Linked DNA regions of Struthio camelus. The protein of the gene in region 2 interacts with the protein of the main gene of each other region in a pairwise test. Links are inferred from orthologs where the notes say so. Each region holds a gene or a part of one and is shown on either strand. Other genes may lie near its edges.

Region 1 (7,878 bases), on a different chromosome or scaffold from region 2:
GCCCCTGCATCCCGTGTCCCCGTGTCCCCGTGCAACCAGGCCCCTGCATCCCGTGTCCCCGTGTCCCCGTGCAACCAGGCCCCTGCATCCCGTGTCCCTGTGCACCCCGTGTCCCCGTGCACCCCGTGTCCCCGTGCAACCAGGTCCCTGCATCCCGTGTCCCTGTGCACCCCGTGTCCCCGTGCAACCAGGCCCCTGCATCCCGTGTCCCCGTGCACCCCGCGACCCGTGTCCGGCCAGCCGCTGTGACAGGGGCACCCCTCACCCCGCGTGTGCCCATGTGGGCACGCGTGTGCCAGCCCCCGGCCCGGGGCTGGTGGCACGTGTGCAGGGGGACACGCGTGGGCCGGCCGGGCCACGGCATCCGGGGGGGATGGGCGAGGGGTGGGGGAGGGGAGGGGAAGTGAGTGGGGGAGGGGCGGTGCGGGGGAGGGGTGGTGGGGGAGGGGACGGGAAGGCGGTGGGGGAGGGGCTCATTTACAGTCAAAGACAAAATGTCCTTTTGGCTCAGCGGGGAAGTGACATCACGGGGGCTCGGCCAATGGGCGCGGGCGGGGGTCCGCGCCTCATCCGCACGCCACCAGCCCATTGGCTGCCGCGCCGGGCCCGGCCGGGCGGGGCTGGGGCATCGCCCCCCGCCCGGGGGGCCCAGGCGTCCGGGGGGCGGCGGGCGCCCAAGGTGACCCCGGCCGGGCCCCCCGGGCACGTGCGTCTCTGGGCAGCGCTCCCGAAATAGCCCCGGCGCTGGCGGGGCCCCCGGACGCCTGGGCCCTGCCCGTGGCCCTCCCCCTCCGCAGGCACGGCTGCAGGGAGCTTGGGCGCGCACACGGCATGCACACGCACGGGGCACGGGCATGCACAGCGCACGCACACGCATGGGGCACGCACACGGCATGCACACGCACGGGGCACGGGCATGCACAGCGCACGCACACGCATGGGGCACGCACACGGCATGCACACGCACGGGGCACGGGCATGCACAGCGCACGCACACGCATGGGGCACGCACACGGCATGCACACGCACGGGGCACGGGCATGCACAGCGCACGCACACGCATGGGGCACGGGCATGCACAGCGCACACACACGCATGGGGCACGCACACGGCATGCACATGCACGGGGCACAGGCATGCACAGCGCCCGCACACGCATGGGGCACGGGCATGCACAGCGCACACACACGCATGGGGCACGCACACGGCATGCACATGCACGGGGCACAGGCATGCACAGCGCACGCACACGCATGGGGCACGCACACGGCATGCACACGCACGGGGCACGGGCATGCACAGCGCACGCACACGGCATGCACACGCACGGGGCACGGGCATGCACAGCGCACGCACACGCATGGGGCACACACACGGCATGCACATGTACGGGGATGCACAGCGCATGCATACAGCACACACGTATGGGGCACACACATGCATGGCGCATCGGTATGCAGGGGGCACGCACACAGCACGCACACGCATGGGGCACAGGCATGCATGGGGCATGCACACAGCACACACGCTTGGGGCATGGGCATGCATTGGTGCTGGGCGTGCATGGGGCACGCACATGCATGGGCACTGGGTGTGCACAGGGGACAGGCATGCTTGGGGCACACACATGACATGCATATGCATGGGGCACACACACACATGGGCACTGGGCATGCACAGGGCACGCACACGCATGGGTGCTGGATGGGTGCGGGGCATGAGCGTGCACAGGGAACGCACACGCATGGGTGTTGGGCATGCACATGCATGGGCGTTGGGCACGCATGGGGCACGCACATGCATGGGTGCTGGGCACGCACAGCGCATGGGCATGGACAGGGTACGCACACAGCACGCACACACATCGTGTTGGACATGCATGGGACACACACACAACATGCACACGCATGGGCGTTGGGCATGCACGGGGCACACACGCCTGGGGCACGCACACGTGGAGCACGGCCGTGCATGGCCTTTGGGCACGCACAGGGCATACACAGAGCACGGGCACGCCTGGGGCACAGGTTTGCATTGGCTGCAGGCGTGCCCAGGCTGCAAGTGTGCGTGGGACACGCGCGGGGCAGGGGCTCGTGCGGGCTTTGGGCGTGCACGGGGCATGCGGAGGACATGGGCTACGAGCATGCAAGGCACAGGCGCGGCTTGCAGGCGTGCATGGAGCACGGGTGCGCACAGGGCACGGGTGTGCACGGGCTGCGGGTGTGCACGGGCTGCAGGCACGCACGGGGCGCAGGTGTGCACAGAGCACGGGTGTGCAGGGGCTGCAGGCGCGCATGGGGCACAGGCGCGCATGGGGCACGGGTGTGCATGGGCTGCAGGCACGCACGGGGCGCAGGTGTGCACAGAGCACGGGTGTGCACGGGCTGCAGGCGCGCATGGGGCACAGGCGCGCATGGGGCACGGGTGTGCACGGGCTGCAGGCACGCACGGGGTGCAGGTGTGCACGGGCTGCGGGCGGGCACGGGGCGTGGGTGTGCACAGAGAACGGGTGTGCACGGGCTGCAGGCGCGCATGGGGCACGGGTGTGCACGGGACACGGGTGTGCACGGGCTGCAGGCGCGCATGGGGCACGGGTGTGCATGGGCTGCAGGCGCGCATGGGGCACGGGTGTGCACGGGACACGGGTGTGCACGGGCTGCAGGCGCGCACGGGTGTGCACAGGGCACGGGGATGCACCGGGGCGGACACGCGCGGGGCACGGGGGGGCTCGCCCGGGGCTCCCGGCTGCCGCAGCAGAGGGGCAGCCGGCGGCGCGGCGGGGGGCCGGGGGGGGCCTCACCGGGTGTCCTCTGGCTCCGACAGCGGGTCCAGGGTGCTGGGCTTCTGTTCCATTCACCGCAATTCCATCAAGGAGCGCTCAGCACCGTCCGAGGGGGCTCCGCCACCGGCGCTGGGCGCGGGGGGGCCGCGGCGGGCGGCTACGACGCGCGCCCCATGGCGCCCGCCTCAGTGCTCAGCTCCGCGCAGCATCCCGCGGCCCAGCCTGCGGAGGGAGCCCGCCGGCGCCCGCTCAGGCCTGCACCGAGCTGCGCGAGGCCTCAGCGCGCCCCGTGCGCGGGTTGCGGGGTTGGGGGGGGGGGGGGGCCAGGCGCGAGCGGGCCGGGCTGAGCCCCGACGCGCTCGGCTCATGCGTGGCCCCGGCACCGGGCGGGGGAGACTTACGGCGGCGGGGGCCGGCGATCCCTCCTGGGCGAGCTCTCCTGCGGCAGAGACGTGGCGGCGGTGGGGGCCGGGGCGGGGGCAGCGCCGCCCGACCCCCCCCCCCCAAACCCCTCCGCGATGGGGGAAACTGAGGCAGGTGGCGGGGGCCCCCCGCGCCGCCCCGGCCCCCCCCCCCGCACGCGGTGCACGGCTGCGTCCCCCCCAGCACCGGGGCGGCGGCGGGGGGCCGGGCAGGCGCCGTGCCCGGCCCGCGGGCTCCTCCGGCTCCGAGCGGGGACAGGCAGAAAGTAGGTCACGTTTGTCTTGGCCGCGGCAGAAATTCCTCCGGCGGATTTAAAGCGCGGCTGCGGCCGGGCCGCGCCGGGGCACCGCTGCGCCGGCACCGGGGAGCTGCCGCGGGCCCGGACGGCGCCGGGCTCCCCTGCGCCTGCCCCCGGCCGGGGCTCGCGGCCGGCGCGACCCTCCCCATGCGTCGCACGAGGCTCTCGCACGAGGCTCTCGCACGAGGCATGCTGCATCGCCCCGCGGCACGCCACGCGCCTGCGTGCATGCCCGCCCGCCGGCGGCCCCGGACGCCTGGGTCCCCTGCCCAGCTCCCGCCCCGGGTTGGGGCTGGGGGGGGGGCACAGCGCCCCACGCACGGCACTCCAGGCCGGGCTTTGGGGCCGGCCGCGGGCGGTACCTATAGAGCCAGCGCGGCGCGGCGGCCGGGGGCTGCAGCAAATGTTTGTTCCATATGGGAACGCCGCGCGGAGACTTCCAAGTATAGGCACTGGCTGGGTGCCAGGGCTGCGCGCGGGCCCGCCGCCCCGCGGGCACCCGGCCCCCCCGGCCGGCCCCCGGGGCCCAGGAGTCCGGGGCGGCCCCGTCCCTGCTGCGGGGACCCGGCCAGCAGAGCCCTGACCCGCTCGGCACACGCGTGGCGCTGGCAGATGCCCGGGAAGGTGCGGCGCCGCGGGGTGAGGGGGGTAAAGCCTGGGCTCAGGGCGGCTGCGGCGGCGGCCGGCGAGCTCCGGGTGCCGAGGGCCGCGGGGCCGTGTGCCGCGGTGCCCGCAGGAAGCGGCGGCGGCGGGCGGGCTGCGGCGCTCGAGGAATCCCGCCGGCGCGGGGCGGCCGCGGCAGACGGACACGGGGAGGCGGCTCTCCTCCTCCTCCTCTTCCTCCTCGGTGCGCCGCGGGCCCCGTGCCACCGGCACCGTCTCCCGCTGCCTGCGGGCAGCAGAACGGGCCACGTGTAACGAGCGCCGTCAGGTCTCAGCCCCCCGCGGCGCTGCCCGGGCTGAGGCCGGCGGCAGTGCGCGCGGTGATGCCGGGCGCCCCGAGCCCCCGGGCCGGGTGCTCCCGCGCGGCCGGCGTCGCTGCCGGGACCGGCTGGCCCAGGGCGGGAGCGCGGGGACCCGGCGCAGCGCCCGCAGGACCCCGGCCCGCGCCCACCGCCCGGCCCGCGCCCCGCCGGGGTTTCTGCTGAGTCGGGCGCTTGCAGGAGCTGGAAAACAACCCGGGGGCAAAGTCCAGGGCTGGGCCGGCGGCGGGAGCCGCGGCACGCGGGGGGCACGGCCGGGCCGCGCCGGCACCCGTGCCCGGCCCCGCGGCGCCCCGGCCAGATGGGCGCCGGGGTCCCAGGCGTCCGGGCGCCCCCTCCCCCCGGCCCAGCTGCTATCTGGGTCACGGAGGTGAGGGCCTAAGCGCTTTAGCCAAGGTGCCAATTAGCGCGATTAGCGCGGGGCTGGGGGCAGGGCGCCGCGGCCGGGCCCCCGCCGCCCGCCCGGGCACCGGCACGGGCACCGCCACCGCCGCTCTGCAGCAGCGGCTCCGGCTGCGACCCGCAGCGGCGACGAAAGGGCCGCGGGAGCCCGGCGGGGACGGACGAGGGGCATCCGCGGCGGCGCCTGGCCCACCAAAATGCACCGCCTGCGCCCTGCACGGCCCGCTCCCCGCGCCTGCGTCCCCGTGCGGTGCAGCGGGTGCCCCATGCGGCCCGTGCAACACGTGTGTCCCGGCGCGGTGCAACGCACCCAGCACAGCCCGGCGCTATCCGTGCATCCTGCTGCGGTGCAATGCACCCGGCACAGCCCACCACTGTCGTACATCCCGGCGTGGTGCAACGCACCCGGCAGAGCCCGGCGCTATCCGTGCGTCCTGCTGCGGTGCAACGCACCCAGCACAGCCCGGCACTATCCGTGCGTCCTGCTGCGGTGCAACGCACCCAGCACAGCCCGACGCTATCCGTGCGTCCTGCTGCGGTGCAACGCACCCGGCACAGCCCGGCGCTATCCGTGTGTCCTGCTGCGGTGCAACGCACCCGGCACAGCCCGGCGCTATCCGTGTGTCCTGCTGCGGTGCAACGCACCCGGCACAGCCCGGCACTATCCGTGCATCCTGCTGCGGTGCAACGCACCCGGCACAGCCCGGCGCTATCCGTGTGTCCTGCTGCGGTGCAACGCACCCGGCACAGCCCGGCGCTATCCGTGTGTCCTGCTGCGGTGCAACGCACCCGGCACAGCCCGGCACTATCCGTGCATCCTGCTGCGGTGCAACGCACCCGGCACAGCCCGGCGCTATTCGTGCGTCCTGCTGCGGTGCAACGCACCCGGCACAGCCCGGCACTATCCGTGCGTCCTGCTGCGGTGCAACGCACCCGGCACAGCCCGGCGCTATCCGTGTGTCCTGCTGCGGTGCAACGCACCCAGCACAGCCCGGCGCTATTCGTGCGTCCTGCTGCGGTGCAACGCACCCGGCACAGCCCACCACTGTCGTGCATCCCGGCATGGTGCAACGCACCCGGCAGAGCCCAGCGCTATCCGTGCGTCCTGCTGCGGAGCAACGCACCCGGCACAGCCCGGCGCTATCCGTGCGTCCTGCTGCGGTGCAACGCACCCGGCACAGCCCACCACTGTCGTGCATCCCGGCATGGTGCAACGCACCCGGCACAGCCCGGCGCTATCCGTGCGTCCTGCTGCGGTGCAACGCACCCGGCACAGCCCACCACTGTCGTGCATCCCGGCATGGTGCAACGCACCCGGCAGAGCCCAGCGCTATCCGTGCGTCCTGCTGCGGAGCAACGCACCCGGCGGTGCCCGACACTGTGTGCACGTGCCGGCACAGCGCACGCACCCGGCGCTGCGCGTGCTTCCCAGCGCGATGCCCGTGCCCGGCGGTGCCCGGCCGGCACCGGGGCGCCCGTGGCAGCGGGGCCGCGCGGCTGCGCGTGACTCAAGGCCGCAGGAATCCCAGGCATGCGGCGGCAGCTGGGCAGCCGCGCGCCGGGGGATGCCATGCGCCTGACATCAGGGCCAGGGCGACCCCGGGGCACCCCGAACGCCGCGGCCGGGGGCGCCCATCCTACCGCGAACCGCGGCGGGACCGAGCCGCAGCGGCAGCTCCGGCTGGACGCCCGGCTCCGAATCCCGCCCGAGCGCAGCCCGAGCGCTTTCGCATCGGCCTCGGTTTCCCCGTGCCGCCGGGGCGCCGAGGGGAAGCGCGGCAGGCGGGCGGGCGGGCGCGGGAGCTGCCGCGCTGTGCCGCGCCGCCCCCTCGCACGCCGGCGCGGCAGGATGCGGCCGGGCCCCCCCGCCGGACGCCCGTGCCCACCGCGGGCGCCCCCGGCCCGCGCCGCCCCGCGGCACGCAGCACCAGCGCGGCGGCGCCCCCGGGCTCGGCCGCGGGGCGCCTGACGCGTGACGAGCGGCGGCGGGCTCAGCGGCGGCGGCCGGCGCGCCCGCGGGTGCCGAGCCCCCGGGGTGCCCCCGGGGGGGCCGGGCCGGGGCCGCGCGGGGCGGCGAGCGCACGCAGGGCGCCAGGCAGCTATTCTGAGCGCGCTGGGGGAGGGGGGCTTGGCAGGGCGAGCGCGGCGTTGCTAAATCGGGGAAGGAGCGGGGGCTCCGGCTCGCGGCCGGCCGGGACGCCTGGGTGCCCGCGTGGCCGCCGGGTGCCCCGGCCGGGCGCCCGCCCCGACCCCCGAACTCTGGCCGGCCGGGGCGGGCGGGCGCGTGCCCGACGGGAGCCCCCGGCTCCCTCGACGGCTGCCGACGCCGCTCGGCACGGCCGGGCCGGCACCCCGGCGTCCTGCCTGCGCCCGCCTTCGCCCTCATCGCAACACCCTCCTCCTCCTCCTCCTCCTCCTCCAGCGCCTGGAAGAGGACCCAGGCGTCCTGGCCCCGCCCCCCCCCCCCCCCCGCATTTAAGGCATTAAACAACACACCCCGCGCCCCACGGCAGCCGGGGGTCCCGCGGGGCCGGGGCTGGGCCCCCGCGGCCGCCCCGTCCCCTCCCGTCCCGTCCCGGCTGGCGCGCGCCTGCTCCAGGCTTTCCCGGCAGCCGCGGGAAAGTGCGTGGCGGAGCGGGGAGGGGGCCGCTTCCTGGTGCTGCGCCCCCCCGGAAGGGCCGGGGCCGGGCGCCCGCGGCCCCGCAGCACCCCGCGCGCAGGGGGACGCCCGCCGGGGGCGGCAGGGGGGCGCCCGCCGGCCGCCGGGGCTCGCGCCGCCCTTGGCGTGAGTCCGGCCCTGCCCCACGGCGCAGCGGGGGTGGCCGCGGCGGGGGTGCCAAGCACCCCTGGCCCTCGCCGGCGCGGGGACCACTCGGCACCGGGCTGCAGCGCCGGCGCGCCGCGCAGTCGCCCGCGCCGGCCCAGGGGGCTCCGGCCGTGCCCCCGGCAGGTGTCCGTGCAAGGATGCACGCGCGCGTGCAAGGCCCCGC
Region 2 (7,977 bases):
ATAAAAAACGGCATCCACTGCAAACTCACAGTCTTCCTTACCCAGGCTATCCTTGTGTACTTCAAGTAAAAAACCATCATGAAAATCTGGCTCACAGGCACAGGGGACAGGTTTAGAACGGAAGCGCTGATTCCGAAAATGCAAACACAGAGTGAAGGTAGAACAGATTTGGCCAGGCAAAGGCTCCGGTTCCTGAAGATGTTCCAGAAAAGCTTTTCCGCCCAAAACCTGAAGGTAAAGATACCTCCGTGTTGGGTTAATATTAGCTGTAAAGCGTAGCAATAAATATGAAGAAACTACAAACAGATCTTAGGAAGTATGTTTAAAATATCTGTTATCTAAGTGGAGAATAGAAAAAAAAAAAAACTCTTTCAAAACAAGTGCTTAGGGGAAAGCAATTTTAAAACTTATGGAAGATAATATACAATAAATGCTATTTTATGTGCAACTAACTTCTGCTGTTTATATGAACCCACTTGCATCTAGACAAGTAAGAAAAACATCTATTTCTGCACAATATGGAAACTTTAAATGAATCCAATTCGCTCTGTAATATTAATTCAAAGAGCTCAATAAACCTGCACTTAATTTATTTTAAAACTATAATCCAAACATTAAAATAAACAAGCAACATACCTTTTTTCAGAACTGGTGGTTCTCTGTCAACAAAATGCGTAGATGGCTTTGGAGCTGAAGTCCTCTCCTTGTCATTCACTTCCTGGAATTGCAATTAGACTTCTTAAAGAATCAAGTGAGGCAACAGTGCTATTCCTGTTGTCTCTTAAAAATTAAAAGAATTCTCTCTTTCTACTGACTGTTGTTTCTCAAATATATTGCCTTGTAGGATTTAAGATGTAAGGGAACTGAACAAGTACTTTCAGTGTAATATTAACACTAAACCAACTCAGTACTTACAACTCAGTAAAGCTAATATAAGCACTTAGAAGTAATTGAGTCTGCACTTTATAGTAAAAGAGCTGTCATAACATCAAGTCGATAATAGGAATAACCAAAATACATTCATGTTTCAAAAGCTACTTACAGTTACAAATTTAAGCTCTTTAATAACATCATCAATGATTCCTCGCTGTCTTAAGGCTTTTATCAGGTCTTCCGTGGATAACTGTTGATGCTCAGGTGCAAACTCTTCACGTATAGTCTCAGCAAGAACTTCTCTGATCTTGCCATGAACATCCATCTGAACAGAAAATTCATCATATGCTAGAAATACATGTTCAAACTCTCATAAGCTTTGTAAATAATACTTCTTAATAACCCCCACAGTATTTAAATTCGCACTCAGCTGTATCACAGCAGAATGCAAGACTGGTCTCTTCAAACTTATTTTCATTTTCCTCCTTGATTGAGGCTTAAGTATGATAATAAGAATAAAAGAAATGAAGCTCCTTATATGGTCACAGTTAGCACTAAAACGTTTCTCTGTAAGGTAACGGGTATTCTCCTAGGAATACAGAGATAACTGCACCAAAAGAATACCTCTTTCTGCACATAAATGTGTACCAAACAACTTTTTATTGTTTAGTGAGAAGTACCGCAGCAAGTCACACTATCTCACCAAAGCAACTGCACCAGTTAAGAGCATTCCAAACCTGAGCATTTCCACTGCTTGTGACAGCATCCCCAGCCTCGAACATCCCTTCTCACCAACAGCCCTGCAAATCCATTGATTATAAAACTTCCATGCTTTTAATTTCTCTTCTCCCTCAAAATTCAAACTTATGGCAATGTGTGTATGGGAAATAAACTGAATGTTTTTGATCAGGTACATCCACCGTCCTATCAGCCCTGATGAGCCTCCACTAGCTGAACAGCCCAAGCCACTGTATCCTTATCGCACCATAGGATGTGTCTTCAACCATCAAAAGTTCTTTGGAAACTGTCAGCCCTCTGATGCTGTGGAGGTCTGCGTGTTTGACCTGCAAGATGAATCTAAATGGAAACCCATGAGCGGAGAAGCAATAAAATCTGTGTGTTCCCCTGGAACAATATCTTCAATTCCTCCTTTTCCTCCTCTTACTTTTTACAGAAAGGAAAAAAAAAACTTTAGATTGTTGCAGGTAAGGCATACAAATAGGGAGCCTCCATCGCAAGCTTTTTCTATGATCATAAAGCCAGAATTTCTGTACTTCGATGGCTCAGCTGTGAAACAGCATGTATTCCTAAAGTTGTTTCTCCCACAGGAACGATGCAAGGCTATAGCCACTGAGACACTGCGATACTTCCGCGATGCGAGCTAAAGCACTGATATTTCTCTCCCACTGTTTTCAAAACCCCGCCCTAGTTTCTCGCTCAACAAGCGGCGAGCAAACAGACGGCCTCCCGGTGCCTCCGGCCGCCGTGGCTCCCCCCCTCCCCCCGCCGCCTCCTCTCACAGGGCCGAAAACGCCGCTCCCCTCCGCCGGCCCTCCACGGGGCAGCCCCGACAGCGGGAGCGCCAGCACCGGGGGGGGGGGGGCGATGCCAGCTCCATCGCCCAGAAAAGGGGAAACGAAGGGAAAGAGCGAGGACGGCAGGAGAGGGCGGGGAAAGGCCGGAGGCCAAGGCGGCCGTTAGACCAGAGCGCTGATCCTCGCAGGCCCTCTTGGGGGGAGGGGGGGGGCCGCAAGCGCCAACATGGCAAAACAGCACCTCGGGAAGTACATGAACCTGCTGAAGTACGGGGGGGGGGGGAACAAAAGGGATGGGCGAGGGAGCGGACACGGAGCTGGAGGCGCCTCCCCCGCCTGGGCGGGCATCGCTGCCTCCAAGGGCCGGGGGGTCCCTATCACCGACGCACCGGGGATTTCTCCGAGTAGACGAAGTCGCTCCGCGCTCAGGACGGGCCCCAGTGCCCGGGGGCCTCTCCACCTTGTTACCGCCCTCACCTTGACCAGCTGCTGGTGGATGAGCTGCTTCAGCTCCGAGGCCTTCTCCGGCGGTAGCGACATGGCGGCGGGACGAGCCGCGACGCCCCGCACTCCGGCAAAGGGGCGGGGGGTGGAAGACCAGGCCGCCGGCCTGCGCGCCGCGGGCTAAGCCCCGCCCCCAACCGCCTTTCTAACGGCCGCCGCGGCGGGCCCGGCCCCGCCCCCTCGCGGGCGGAGCAGCGAGGGCGGCGGCGGTTACGGCCGTTGCGTTGGCGGCCGTGCTCGCCCACTCGCCTCACCGGGGGAGGGGGGGAGCCTGAGGTAGGAGGAGGGGGGCGGCTCTTTTCTCTTCCTGCCGGCATGTTTGTTCCGTGTGACCATGGCAGCGGCGGCCCCTCCGCCAGCTCGGACTTTGACGGCTTCACTCTGCTCGTGGTAAGTGGCCTTGCTGCTCCCCTCCTCTCGCCGAGGCGGCCGTGGGGAGGTGCTGCCAGAATGGAGCGCTCCGGGGCGGGGGTGAGGGACGTGCTGCTGCTCGAGGCCGTGGCTCTCGGGGCGGGGGGGGGGCTTCCTACAGCTGGGGCCTGAAACAGCGTCGGAGGCTTTGGCGGGCGCGGACGGGGGCTTGTCCGCGCGGCTCGCTCCCGCTTTGGGGGCGGCAGGCCGGGGACGCTTTCCTCTCCCCTGTCCGGAGGTCGGCCCCGGAAACTTCTCAACGGCCTGGGGGGAAGGGGGGAGAGAGGCTATGTACACTAGTCTTCAGTGGCAGATTCCTTAGCTGTGCTATATTTAAGCTGAGCTTGGAATTGGTTTAGAAAATACTTTAATAATTTGTAACGTGAAATCGATGTAAGATTAAACTGCTAGAGGTTACTTTGTGTATTGTAGGGTACGAATTCTAGTACAGGCTGTGAAGTAGCAAGCCGTTATTTTTCCTATTAGTAAGTGCCTTTACTTTATCATCTAAGGGTAACCTTATCGCCTTTCATCAGGGCCAGATCGCCCCTGATGACTGTGCATATTTACATGAGGTACAAGATTTTATACAGGAAGTCATTCCAGATCAGCTGACTGGGAACAGGAAATAGGTCATTGCTATTTTCTTTGTCTAGGAATAACAAGCTGTTGAGCACCAGGCAATTTGTAATGACGGTCTGTAACTGCTGTTACATCCTTTTTCGCTCTGAGGTTATCGGCATCAAATTCCTTGTGTTTCCAGGATTGCTGGCCCTTGGGCAGCAGCAGTTCATAGGCACGGGCTTGCTTATAAATGAGTGGGAGGCAACTGAAAATTTTACAGTTGTCTTCCATTTTCAGCTTCTGTAGAAGGACACAAACTCGCAAACTGAATTTTTCCTTGTATGCTCTCAGATTGGGTCAGCATCAGCTTTGATTGGTGATAACATATGCTAATTTACTTGTGTTTTTAGGACAATCTGGTATTTATAGATTTAACGTGCAGTATCGGCATTGCCATTCACTGTCACTTTGGGGCTGCCAATCTCTGCATTAGATTTTGGAGTGATTTTTATCTACTCTGTAGCCAAAAAAGGGGGGATTGGGGAGGACACGAGGACACCAGTCTCCAAGCCTTTTTTTTTTTTTAAGTTTATAATGAGACAGGATTATTGACAGAAGCAACCAGTATGTATTTGTGGCATAGGGACCACATTATATATTAGTAAGCTGTTAACAAGTAGTAACTTCTGTAAGAAAATGGTGCCACTTTAAGAAATCATATGGTTAACCGGAATTCAGCTAACTTAAGTTTTCACTGTTTGCAAAAGCATGCTGTATTGTCCATAAAACACGCTGCAATTCTTTAAGTGAATTATGTCTTTACTATTGTAATGCTAAAACACTTCTGTTACTTCAGCCAGCAGTGTCAGTGGGAAATGTTGGTCAACTGGCAATAGACCTCGTGATTTCCACACTGGACATGACTAAAGTTGGCTACTTCTACACTGATTGCCTTGTGCCAATGGTTGGGAATAATCCATATGCAACTGCAGAAGAAAACTCAACGGAGCTGAGTATAAATGCTGAAGGTATGTATTGAATGCAAGCTAGATCTTAAATATTTGCCTGTAGAAAGCAGTTGTAAGAATGTTTCTCCTTTTTTTTCTTACCTTTTAGATGAAGTTCAATAATAACTTTTGTAACCAAATCTCTGACTCGCAGATAAGAATGTAAATTTACACTTTGTGGAGGAAACTTACTTTTGTTATTTTGCATAAATAGTTTGAAACATGGAACCGGTAAGAAATGTTGAATCTCAACCATATTACAGTGCTGCTGAATCTCTCTGCAGTTTTAATCCTAGATAATGTGGAAAGTGTGTCCATACCTACAGTAAAGCATGGCATGCAAGCTAAATTAGAGTATAAAAGGATATTCGTCCTGTCTTCTTCCTTCCCACCTATCTTTGCCTTTTCCTAGTGTGGAGGGTTTTTTTTTTTCTTTTTTCTACCTTCAAGTTTTCACTTCCTTTCTGTGTCTTGATCATAGCATTTCAAATTATATTGTTTTTTCCTTTTAAATCATGGAAATCTCGAGATAATCTGTCGTAATCTCTGCAAAGCTGTATAAAGAGTTTATCTGAGTCACTGCAGGAGATAGTTTTTGTTTTGTTTTTAATAAATTTTTACTTCATTCAATCCTTTGTTTTTATGCCAAGTGAAATTAGATTCAGTGAAGATGATGCACAAAAATACGTATTTTTTTACATTACTGAAAAGCCTGAAATAATTCACAATTTGGTAAGAGAGCTGAAAGGTTTACCTCAGATTTATGGATTGGATAAATCTGGATACTTCTAAGCTCAGATCCTTTTTTTTTTTTTTTTTGTTATGCACTGTTTTATTTTCTCCTTGTAGTGTATTCATTACCTTCAAGGAAACTTGTAGTTCTGCAGATCAGATCACCTTTTATAAAGGTACGTATGTTCATTGTTCTCACTTCAGTGTTCAAGTTCAGTTGTTCTACTGGCCAGTAGTTTTCAAATGGTCTAGAAGAATTTACTCTATTATAATATCTTAAAATAAGCACAACTGAAAAAATTCGTGCTCCCTATTATGAAATAATGTCTTAACAGCAAAATATACATTTTAAAAAAAAAGCAAAATGTTTTTCTGCTTAGTGATATAACGTCTTCCGTAATTGATAAAATTTTAGCTAACAAAAGCTGTCTCCTACATTCATTAATGGTTGAGATTTGTTTGTTTGCTTGTTTGTTTCAAGCTCTGAAACAGCTCAGCTAATTCAGTAGAATTTAGTGAAAATATGTCCTTAGTTATTAACTGTCTTGACAAAACAATATGGTCTGTTTCCCGCCTGTTTATTTTTCTCTTCATATTTATTGTTTTTGTGTATTTGTCTTTTCTTAAATAGCTTAATTTTTGCTGTCACCCCCATTTATTTCCTGCTGTTCTCTATTCATTATATATAAACAGTTAAAATTAACTGTTAACTGTATAGTGGCTGTGATTTAAAATGGGCAGAACACCACACGAGAGTAAATTGTGTTGTAGTATTTTTGGCAGTTTAAATTGTGGGAAAATACTGTGGAATTTTATCATCCCATATTGTTCTAAAGGTTTTCCCGTTGATATTAATGGCACACAGAATGAGTGATACAGTTATTATTAATGTGGTTTTCATAATTTTTATAATTATACATATATCTTTGATTAAGTAAACAACCAGTGTCCTCTGCTTTTTAAAAATATATCTGAAGACTGAATGGATATGAAGAAAAAAAAATTTCCTCACTGCTGAACACTAAATATAACATCTAGTATTGTAGACTTGTGGCTTTTCTTAAGGGCATGAATTTTTTTTTTTTTTTTTGGTCTCTCCTCCCCCCCCTCTCTCTTTGCGTAAAGAACAAGTACAGGCCATTCTGTCAAGCACTGCTTTCTTGGGTGCAAACCAGCAAATGTGCTAGAGTTATTCTTCTGTCTAGCAGCCATGCATACCAGCGCGATGATGAGCAACTTCTTGGGTATGTGTGTGTCCTTAAATGATTTGATTGTTTTTTCTGTTATTTTTGGCAAACTGGCATATATACTTAGTACTTTTTGGCAGGGTTCTTTTGCTTTACTGTGTAGGTAGATCATAAGATACTTAATATATTATTAAAATAGTGTGTTATACAGCATTAGGCTCTGAGCTTTGTTAGTCTCCTGACAATGCTGAGCAAATAATATGCCATAAGTAAATTTCTGCTTGGCCTGCACCATCAGCCTCGATTTTAACAACTTAGTTTGTTATTGCTGCAAGCGCTGTCAGGGATTAGCTGCTAACATACAGCTCACCGATTAGATTTTTAACGTTTAGTTAGAATATTTGAATTTCTTACCGCTTCTTAATTATTCTGCATTTTGGGTTTTCTTTTTTTAGTAAGGTATCTTTTTATAGGCAGTTACCAATACTTACCTGCTAGGAAAAAACTACACAGAGTTTTATTAGGTGTGCCTCCCCCCCCACCCGTTAAACAAAAGAAAAAGCATAGCTTGATGATCGAGGCCTTGATAATCTATGACTTACCAAAAAAAAAAAAAAAAAAGTATTGTTCAAAATGAACAACTCTTATCACCAGGGTGTATAAATGTTCAGAGCCCTGAGGAGGTCTAGGTCTATGCATGTTCTAGATATAGTTACCATTGATTTTGCATAGAGTTTCTAGAGTGGTCAGCAGACATGGACTGAAATGAGGGAGACTGATGGTTACTTTATGTATTCCGAGTTCATCAGTTGTGGTGACTTACTCTGAATAAGTCTGATACCAGAGAGACACTAATGAGTGAAGGTAATGCATTAAGGAAATACTGAAAGACTTAACAGAAGTCTGCAGATATTTGTAGTTTAAGTTTATTACAAACATTATATCAAAGTGAAGCCCAAGCTTACTTTAACTAACTTTAATTGAATAAATTCCCATCGGAAGGAAGAATAGCCACCATTTCTTTTGTAAATCATTTTAAGAAGCCTATAACAGTTCTCCTATTTAAGTGCTTGTATATTTGATACCCTCTTTTTAGATGCCCAAATTGGCACGTATCTTGAATACTCAGGGGGAAAAATAATGGCTGAGCTTTTTTAATGCTTC
Region 3 (7,296 bases), on a different chromosome or scaffold from region 2:
TCACTATAGATAACAGTAACAACAAATGAACGTCAATGTAGATAAACAACGACAAATGACTTTCAATATAACCACATGGAAAACGAGGCAAAAAGGAGCAGAAAGGGAACCTTCCATTTACATATAAAAACAATGAGTTCTCAGATGACTATATCATTCAGGAACGAGATGATTACTCTCTTCCTCTTCTTGCAGATATACACAGCACGGTGTGCTACAGACAACAGTGATCTGAACCTGTGGTTCTAAAAAGTTAAATTTTAGCATTTAAGCTAAAAAAGGAACCAATGTAACTCACAATTCATTTTGCATGTATAAGGATTTATAGATATACACATACACAGATCTATCTTCTAGCAGTACCACAATTAAACTAAAAAGCTATAAAAAGTCCCTCTGCACTCCCTCAAAGAGTACTAACTATGCATGAGTCATTTCCATATATAACTTATACCTTAAAAAATAAAATACTAAAATCTCCTCTAGCATATTTCATAAAAAATTTGGACATAATCAGAGATCCAGCAATATTCCTTTGGGACAACTCCACAATGGGATTACTGTAGTGGAAGAAGCGTTACGTCAGAATTCAGTTTATCACAGGACAGCTCATTACTACAGACAATACACTTTCAAAGCTCCTCTTGTGACCAGTGCCGATATTCCAAATCTGCCCCAAGGGGAAAATCTGGCAGCAAAAGTGCGTATTATGTTCTCGTGGCATGCAAAACTACATTGCATGTATGCAATGGTACAGACTCAACCTGGGTTATTATCACCCTGGAGAGATTTCTTGCATATATCATTTTGTGCTAGGGAAGATAATTAATAGAACAATCTGATTAAGGGCTAACTCATTTCAGCCTGAAGTAGGGAGGCATAAATCACTCTGTGGTTGTAGCCTGACACCTCAAGTTATGCCAGAGGCTGTTAAAGAGAATAAGTATTTAGACTGGTTGCTAGTTCCCCCTGCAGACACTAAAGAATCATGCAGAACAAAGAGATTTTAAAGCAGCAATATATTTTTTGCCTAACATTTAGATTCAAATGCAGCTTACACAAAACAGATTAGAATCCCTCTATTGTTGCCGATTCACAAGCATACAGAAAATAACAATCCTTCCTTTAAAGAGATCACAATCTAAAAGACAAGACCAAATCCACAAAACAGACAAACAAGAAGGTCACTCTGCGGCAGTTACCAAAAAGATTCAGAAAGGCAAAACGATAGCCAGCTGAAAGCAAAAATCAACACTGAGGGTGAGGTTCAACATTGTGGGTTGAATCGATCTAACAGCTCACTGAGGCCAAAGGAGGTAGTCCTGCTCCCTTTCCCTGACCCCAGCCACATGCTGGTTAGTCTTCTGACTGCTTAAAAAGCTGAAAAACTCCGTCTGCTCACAGTAATAGCTTGGCATAGGAAGGGCACAGCTAGTATTTAACAACGGCCCTCCCCAAGTCAAGTACCTGAATTTAACAGGCACTGCTTCTAAATCCTACAGTCCCAAGGAAATAACTCCATCCCTCACCTTTTCTGAAATAAACTGTTTATGAAAGAAATCAGTAACAAAATTCAAAAGTTGTATTTTAGTCACTAAAACAAACCGAAAACAAGATTCTTCAAAAGTCTTGACATAATGTTGATAATACGAGACATAAGTAACAAAATCAGCTTCCATAGGAACTGTCTGAGCATTAAAACTGTCAAAAGATAAACTTACTTTTAATTCCATGACTAACTACATTAGCCTGAACTTCATATGTGAACAGGACTCTACAGTACTGTTATATTTGTATTTGCTTAAATGGTTGCTGTTTGCTTGAATATTTGAGTCCTCTGTTCCATTAGAATCAAGATACACCTAGTTCACAAATCAGAGAATAAAAAAATCAAGCAGCAGAAACGGCTGTCTTGCTTTTTAAAAGATAACTGATTGTACTCCTTTCCCAGCCTTTTGCCCTCTCAGATAAAACAGTCTTCTATTATTTGACATCTACACATTAGAGACTACAGTGAGGTTAGGTCTCCAGGCACTATTCCCTTATGTTTAATAACAAATGAATCTTTTGGAGACATTTTAACTGAAAGCTGCTGCAGAAGAAGACCGTTTTACTCTCCAGACATCTTGAACCGCTGGTGCTAGCAATAGCAATTACACAGCCAGAGAACTGACTCAGCTTAAAAAAACTTCCTCTAAAAAAAAAAAAAAAACTTTGGTAGGTTTAGTACTCAGCCAGATCGGATGCTTAAACTGACTGCAAGCCTGGGGACAGAGTACAGCAAGCACAGAAGATGAAAGCAGAAGCCCTTTTTAGCAACAGCCTACGACTGGACTGAGTCAATCTTCCCTGTGATCGCTACTACCACTGCTGCGAAATCTAGCTCCTCCTGGCGCTCAGTGTGAGGTGCGCAGGCATGCCTGTGCGCGCGCGCACACACGTCTTCGGATGAACTCCTCTGCACCATGTTTCACCTGGGTTTTAAAGCTGTGCGTAACTTGACCGTTACAAGGCGACGGCGCATTAACACACGTTAAAACCACTCCAGGTCACAGCTCGCCAGGACTTTCTGCTCCGCTGCGATCGGCAGACGGCTGCCATTAACGGAGGCACCGTGAGGGCCGGGAGCGCTTGCCTTGGACACAGGCCGGGCCACGCCACGGCACCTCCTCACGTCGGGCCCTGCCCGTGGCCGGGCCGGCGGCGGCGAGCCCGCGCCATCGCCGCACGCAGGGCCCCTGGCAGAGCCCCCCCGAGCCGCGCCGCCCTCCGGCGGCGGGGGGCGGGGAAGGGGCCTGGCGAGCGCGGCCGGCGCCGGCCTCCGTCCCCCCCGCGCCGCGCCGCGCCGCGCCGCGCCGCGCCGCGCCGCGCCGCGCCGCCCAGCCCGCCGCCGCCTCCTCCTCCTCACCGTGCTCGGGGGACTCGCCGGCTGCGCGCGAGGCGCCCGCGCCGCCCCCCGCTCCTGCCGCCGCCGGCCGCAGCGCCATGGGGCGCGGGCGCGCGGGCCGAGCCGGCGGGGCGAAGAGGGCGGGAGCCGGCGCCGCGGCCCGCGCGGGGCAGAGCGCCGGGAGCAGCCGCCGGGAGCAGCCGCCGGAGCAGCCGCTGCATGCCCCGGTAACGGCAAGCAGGCCGCGCCCGCCGGGCGGCGACGGGGCGCGACAAGGGCCAAAGGCCGCCACGGCGCCTGTCGGGCAACAGGCGGCGAAAGCCCCGGGCGGCAGCGCGCGGAGGGAGGCCGGGCGCCCCGCGCGGACCACAAGCCCCAGCATGCCGCGCGCGCGGCGGCCCGCGCGGGGCACGGCGGGAAGGCGGCGCGGCGGCCGCGGGGCGGGTTCGGGGATCGGCGGCGGCGGCGGCGGCGGCGGTGTCTCGGCCGCGGGAGGGGGTGCGGGGCCCGGCTGAGCGCCCAGGGCCCGGCCCGGGCCCGGCCGCGACGGGCAGGCGCAGCGCCTGGAGGCCTGGGGCCGTGGCGGCTGCCGTGCGTGCGGCTGGGCCCCACCTAGGCCCCGGGGGAGTTTGGCCCTCCCTTCGGCGCGTACGTCCTGCCCGTGAAGGGGGGGAGGCGGTGGACGCTGATCCACCAGAGCCGGGCTGCCTTGGCCACGTCTTGGGCAGATTCCCTACCCTTCCTCTTTCCGTACCTTAAACTCCATAGCGTTTTTTTTTTTTTTTTTTTTTTTGGCTGAGCCATCCTATACCCAGTTGAAGGCATCTAGATATTGTGCACTGAAACAGGAAATATATATTTTTTCCGTGCGGAATTTAAACAAAATTTTTACTGCATTCTGCTAAACAGAATGCCCATAACTAGTCAGAGTATTTTGAGGTGATGACTCTTCAAATTAACCACTTGCACCTTAGGACTACTCAAAGAACTTTACAAACCAAAGCAATGATTTCCATCCTTTTAGCTGTGGTCCAGGGAGAACAGATAGTCTTGCATTAAACATCCATCCTTTATGTGGTCATCCAGCCTTCTAACATAGCTCTGGGCCACTCTTACCATTGGCAATAATGCTCCTACTGTGACTGCACAATCTCCTATTGGGAATGAACCTTTTGGGTGTACGTGAGAGGCTGTTTCTCTGAGGCAAAGGAATGCAAGACACTATTTTCCTACTTAAATAAAGACTTTGTGCCTCTTGGAAGCCAAATTCTGTTTCTACATTCTGTGGAAGAAGCCAAGCCAAATGTTGCCTTGTGTTTCTGCAGATCAGTCTCTGCATATAGACCAGATCTGAAGGAGCTGATTGTTTACATGCATATACAAATCCTTACTTTCACTTTTAAAGGGAGTAGGGATGGCAAAAAAAAAAAAAAGCCACAGAAGGGAGGAAGCTGCATGCACAAGCTGCATGTTACAAGCATTTATGTGTGAGTTTCTGTGTTTGGCTTGTCTATGCATTCCCCTTCTGGAAGATAAAATCTGTCTGGGGGTATCTCACTGCTAGTTTGGCCTATTTCATGTTGCATTTGCCTTCACTGTCTTTCACACATGAATTTGGTCTGCACAGACCTATGGAGCCCAAAGACTGGTTGTGACACAGAAATCAAAGTTCTGTGTAATCTGACAGAAGCTTTAGTTAGGATAAGGCTGATGGCAATTTTCCATATTATGTGTTTCACCTAAATATCAGCTATCCTTAGGAAACTAAATGTTTTAAGTGGTCATCTCTTGAGTGAGTAAAATATGTCAATAAAAATTTGATTCTATGAAGTTATAGATCAAATAACAGGATAAACTTTTGGTATTAGATGTCTTTGTAGAAATACAAATTTAGAAAATGGTTTTGGATCTGAAACTGCTCCCAGTCAAATCACTAGGTATTTTGCTGAAATCTTCAGCACACTCTAATAAGAACATTTCTGTTTGTATGGTTGACAGGGCAGTACAATGCAATATTTAGATAAGTTAGCATTTAATATTCCTCATAGCAGTGGAGGAAAACATAATGCATTTTTAGCAGAACTAAAATTATACCTAGCCAATACCCACTAACATAGCACTAATTTGTTGATGTATCCTTTGGGTTCATAAGATGGCTGAATAAACCTTTTCAGGAAGTGAGAAATTAAAAGCACATTAGCTGGAGCTGATAATTGTTATCATGAATTATTCCTACAAGTCATAGAAGTGGCTGTGAGGAAAAATTCTCATCTGAAGACTGTAAAGCTAAATAACAAGCACTGATTTTTCTGCCTGCCCAAATACAGCACAAGTTTAGTGGTCACTGATCAGGTGCCTCATTGAAGCAAACCACACAGGTTTTTATCACTGCTTAAGTTTGCATTAAAGCCAGCACTTTATCAGTTTTACTCTGGTCTTGCCTTTATTAAGAGTTTCTGCTTAAGTTTTCAGTGAGACAGTTTTCCCTTTGAGGAGACAAAATTCAGAACTCCCAATGAAAGCTGAGTGACACTAACAGAAAGAGGAAGCACAGCCAGCCCTACCAATGTATTTGCTTAGTACAACCACACTGCCCATGCCTGTAAGCATCTCACCCATCTTATTGTTTCTTAATTCACCTGGTAATTTCAATCAAATTTGGCAGAGAGTAAGAGGACCCAGAGGAGGATGTTCCCATACCTTTCCTGAAAATGAGTGGTTAGGAAGGAGAGAGACACTCATAGGGAGAAGAGAGAAACAACACTGCCTGTCTGTGTTCCAGTAAACCGTGGCTGGCCATGAGTATTGATCAGCTTTTTAGGTCACAGGTAAGCAGTCGCAAAACATTACCTCTTATCTCAGCCAAGCAAGAGATATGGGGGAGCTAAGGGTATCTGGGGCACAACTGACTTGCGGGAGGTTAGGAAATAAAGGGACAGGAACTGGAAGATTCTATTACAGGAAGATCTAAATGTTGGAAGAGAACATTGGGATATTTTGTGGAATGTGGGACGGAGTTGAGGATATTCTAAGGCATGGACAGTATAGGGGAAGCTTGAGTTATTGTGACAAGAAAGGAGGACATATTTGGTATGAAACAAGGCTTTGTTACTATTGCTGCTGACACAAAAACTTGTTTTCTGACAAATGAAGAAGAGGAATTGAGCATGATCTGATAATAATAAGAATTTACTACAGAACAATGAGAAGTGTAAGCTGCAGAACTACAGATACCAGAAAATGAAAGGTAGTGGAGTGCCTGACATAAAGTAATTTAGTGTGAGATCGAAAAGCAAATATTGCTAGGGTTTCTGCAGTAACCAGTGTGAATGGAAGAAGAGCATGAAGATGCTATCGGTTGTAGTTTAATGTTTAATTGGCGTCTAACATGAATATGAAAATTAATGTGGAAAATATTAGCATGTGTGGATATTTTCATGATCTGTTAATGATAAGCAGTTCGTTTATATTGCAGGAGGGGAGAACAGAATGGAGAATCCACTGAAAATTTGATTATCCAGAGCAGCAGTTCTTAACTTGCTACCATTTGGATGAGAGCCACTGCCTAAAGATCAGCATGCATACTCAAATACCATTAATGTCAAGGCATTGTTTCAGACACTTCCAAGTTTCTTCCCACAGATACATATCCTTCTCCTTTTTATGTAGTGCCCACCTATCAACATAAAAGTATCTTCCCACATTTGCTGTCCTAAAGTTTACCTGACTTTTCAATCCTCTTCTTCCAGCCTTTCTCCTTTGTTGAATATCTATATAGAAGCAGAAGTAGACACTACCATATGGTCTTTTTGTTTTACTATTCCCTGTTGCCTGGCTGAGCTCGTTTCTTCTTTTCCAAGTGATGGAAAAGGATTTTAACTTCACTGTCATGTCTCTCATTCAAGGGCTTTATTTGACAGGATATGGAGTTACAGCTCCACAGGTCCTCTGCTGTCTATGGGCAGTGAAAGAAATTGGTGAGAAAATGCTGCTTGCTCACAGGAGCTGTGGTCATATCGCACATGGCCTGTTCCTAAGGACAGCAAATACTGGCCCCAGAGTGTGCTTTTAGCCAGTAGGCCAAAGTCTGGGAATCTGTTACATTTTGAATCAGACTGTTAACATTTTGTTGCTTATTATGGACATGGTGATACTGACATGGGAGACCCAGAGTGGATTAGGAGCTCTGGGGACTAGGGTGAAAGGCAACAAGGCCCAAGTGGTTCTCCTTGATTCTGCCAGTCACGGGGAGAGGCTTGGGCTGGAGCAGACTGTGCAGCTGTGTTACCAGCAAGATTCACCTGACAAAGTGGGACACAGGTGTCTCTGCCAACAGGCTTCCTAGCCTTCTGAGAAGAGCTTTAAGCTGAGTTATTGAAGGATGGAGACCTAAGCTGGAAGAGATTTGT

What was found. The genes of interacting proteins can lie anywhere in the genome.
Region 1: the proteins of CEP76 (region 2) and THRA interact in binary tests that used the Homo sapiens proteins (3 or more experiments, as listed by UniProt). The two-hybrid records come from large-scale screens. The link is inferred for Struthio camelus from reciprocal best matches to the Homo sapiens genes CEP76 and THRA.
Region 3: the proteins of CEP76 (region 2) and AKAP7 interact in a two-hybrid assay, tested with the Homo sapiens proteins (3 studies listed by BioGRID). The two-hybrid records come from large-scale screens. The link is inferred for Struthio camelus from reciprocal best matches to the Homo sapiens genes CEP76 and AKAP7.

The regions. Positions count from the first base shown.
Region 1 is NC_090966.1:6,798,800-6,806,677, reverse strand, and holds the start of THRA (thyroid hormone receptor alpha), read right to left. Parts: upstream 3,005-7,878; 5' UTR 2,854-3,004; coding exon 2,801-2,853; intron 1-2,800.
Region 2 is NC_090943.1:113,582,858-113,590,834, reverse strand, and holds the start of CEP76 (centrosomal protein of 76 kDa), read right to left. Parts: upstream 3,011-7,977; 5' UTR 2,949-3,010; coding exon 2,886-2,948; exon of another isoform or gene 2,798-2,885; intron 1,199-2,797; coding exon 1,043-1,198; intron 719-1,042; coding exon 637-718; intron 267-636; coding exon 42-266; intron 1-41. Other genes in the region: PSMG2 (proteasome assembly chaperone 2), read left to right, coding at 3,228-3,302, 4,744-4,915, 5,744-5,802, 6,752-6,870. UniProt on the Homo sapiens protein: Centrosomal protein involved in regulation of centriole duplication. Required to limit centriole duplication to once per cell cycle by preventing centriole reduplication.
Region 3 is NC_090944.1:71,235,223-71,242,518, reverse strand, and holds the start of AKAP7 (A-kinase anchoring protein 7), read right to left. Parts: upstream 3,005-7,296; 5' UTR 2,988-3,004; coding exon 2,909-2,987; intron 2,765-2,908; exon of another isoform or gene 2,475-2,764; intron 1-2,474. UniProt on the Homo sapiens protein: Probably targets cAMP-dependent protein kinase (PKA) to the cellular membrane or cytoskeletal structures.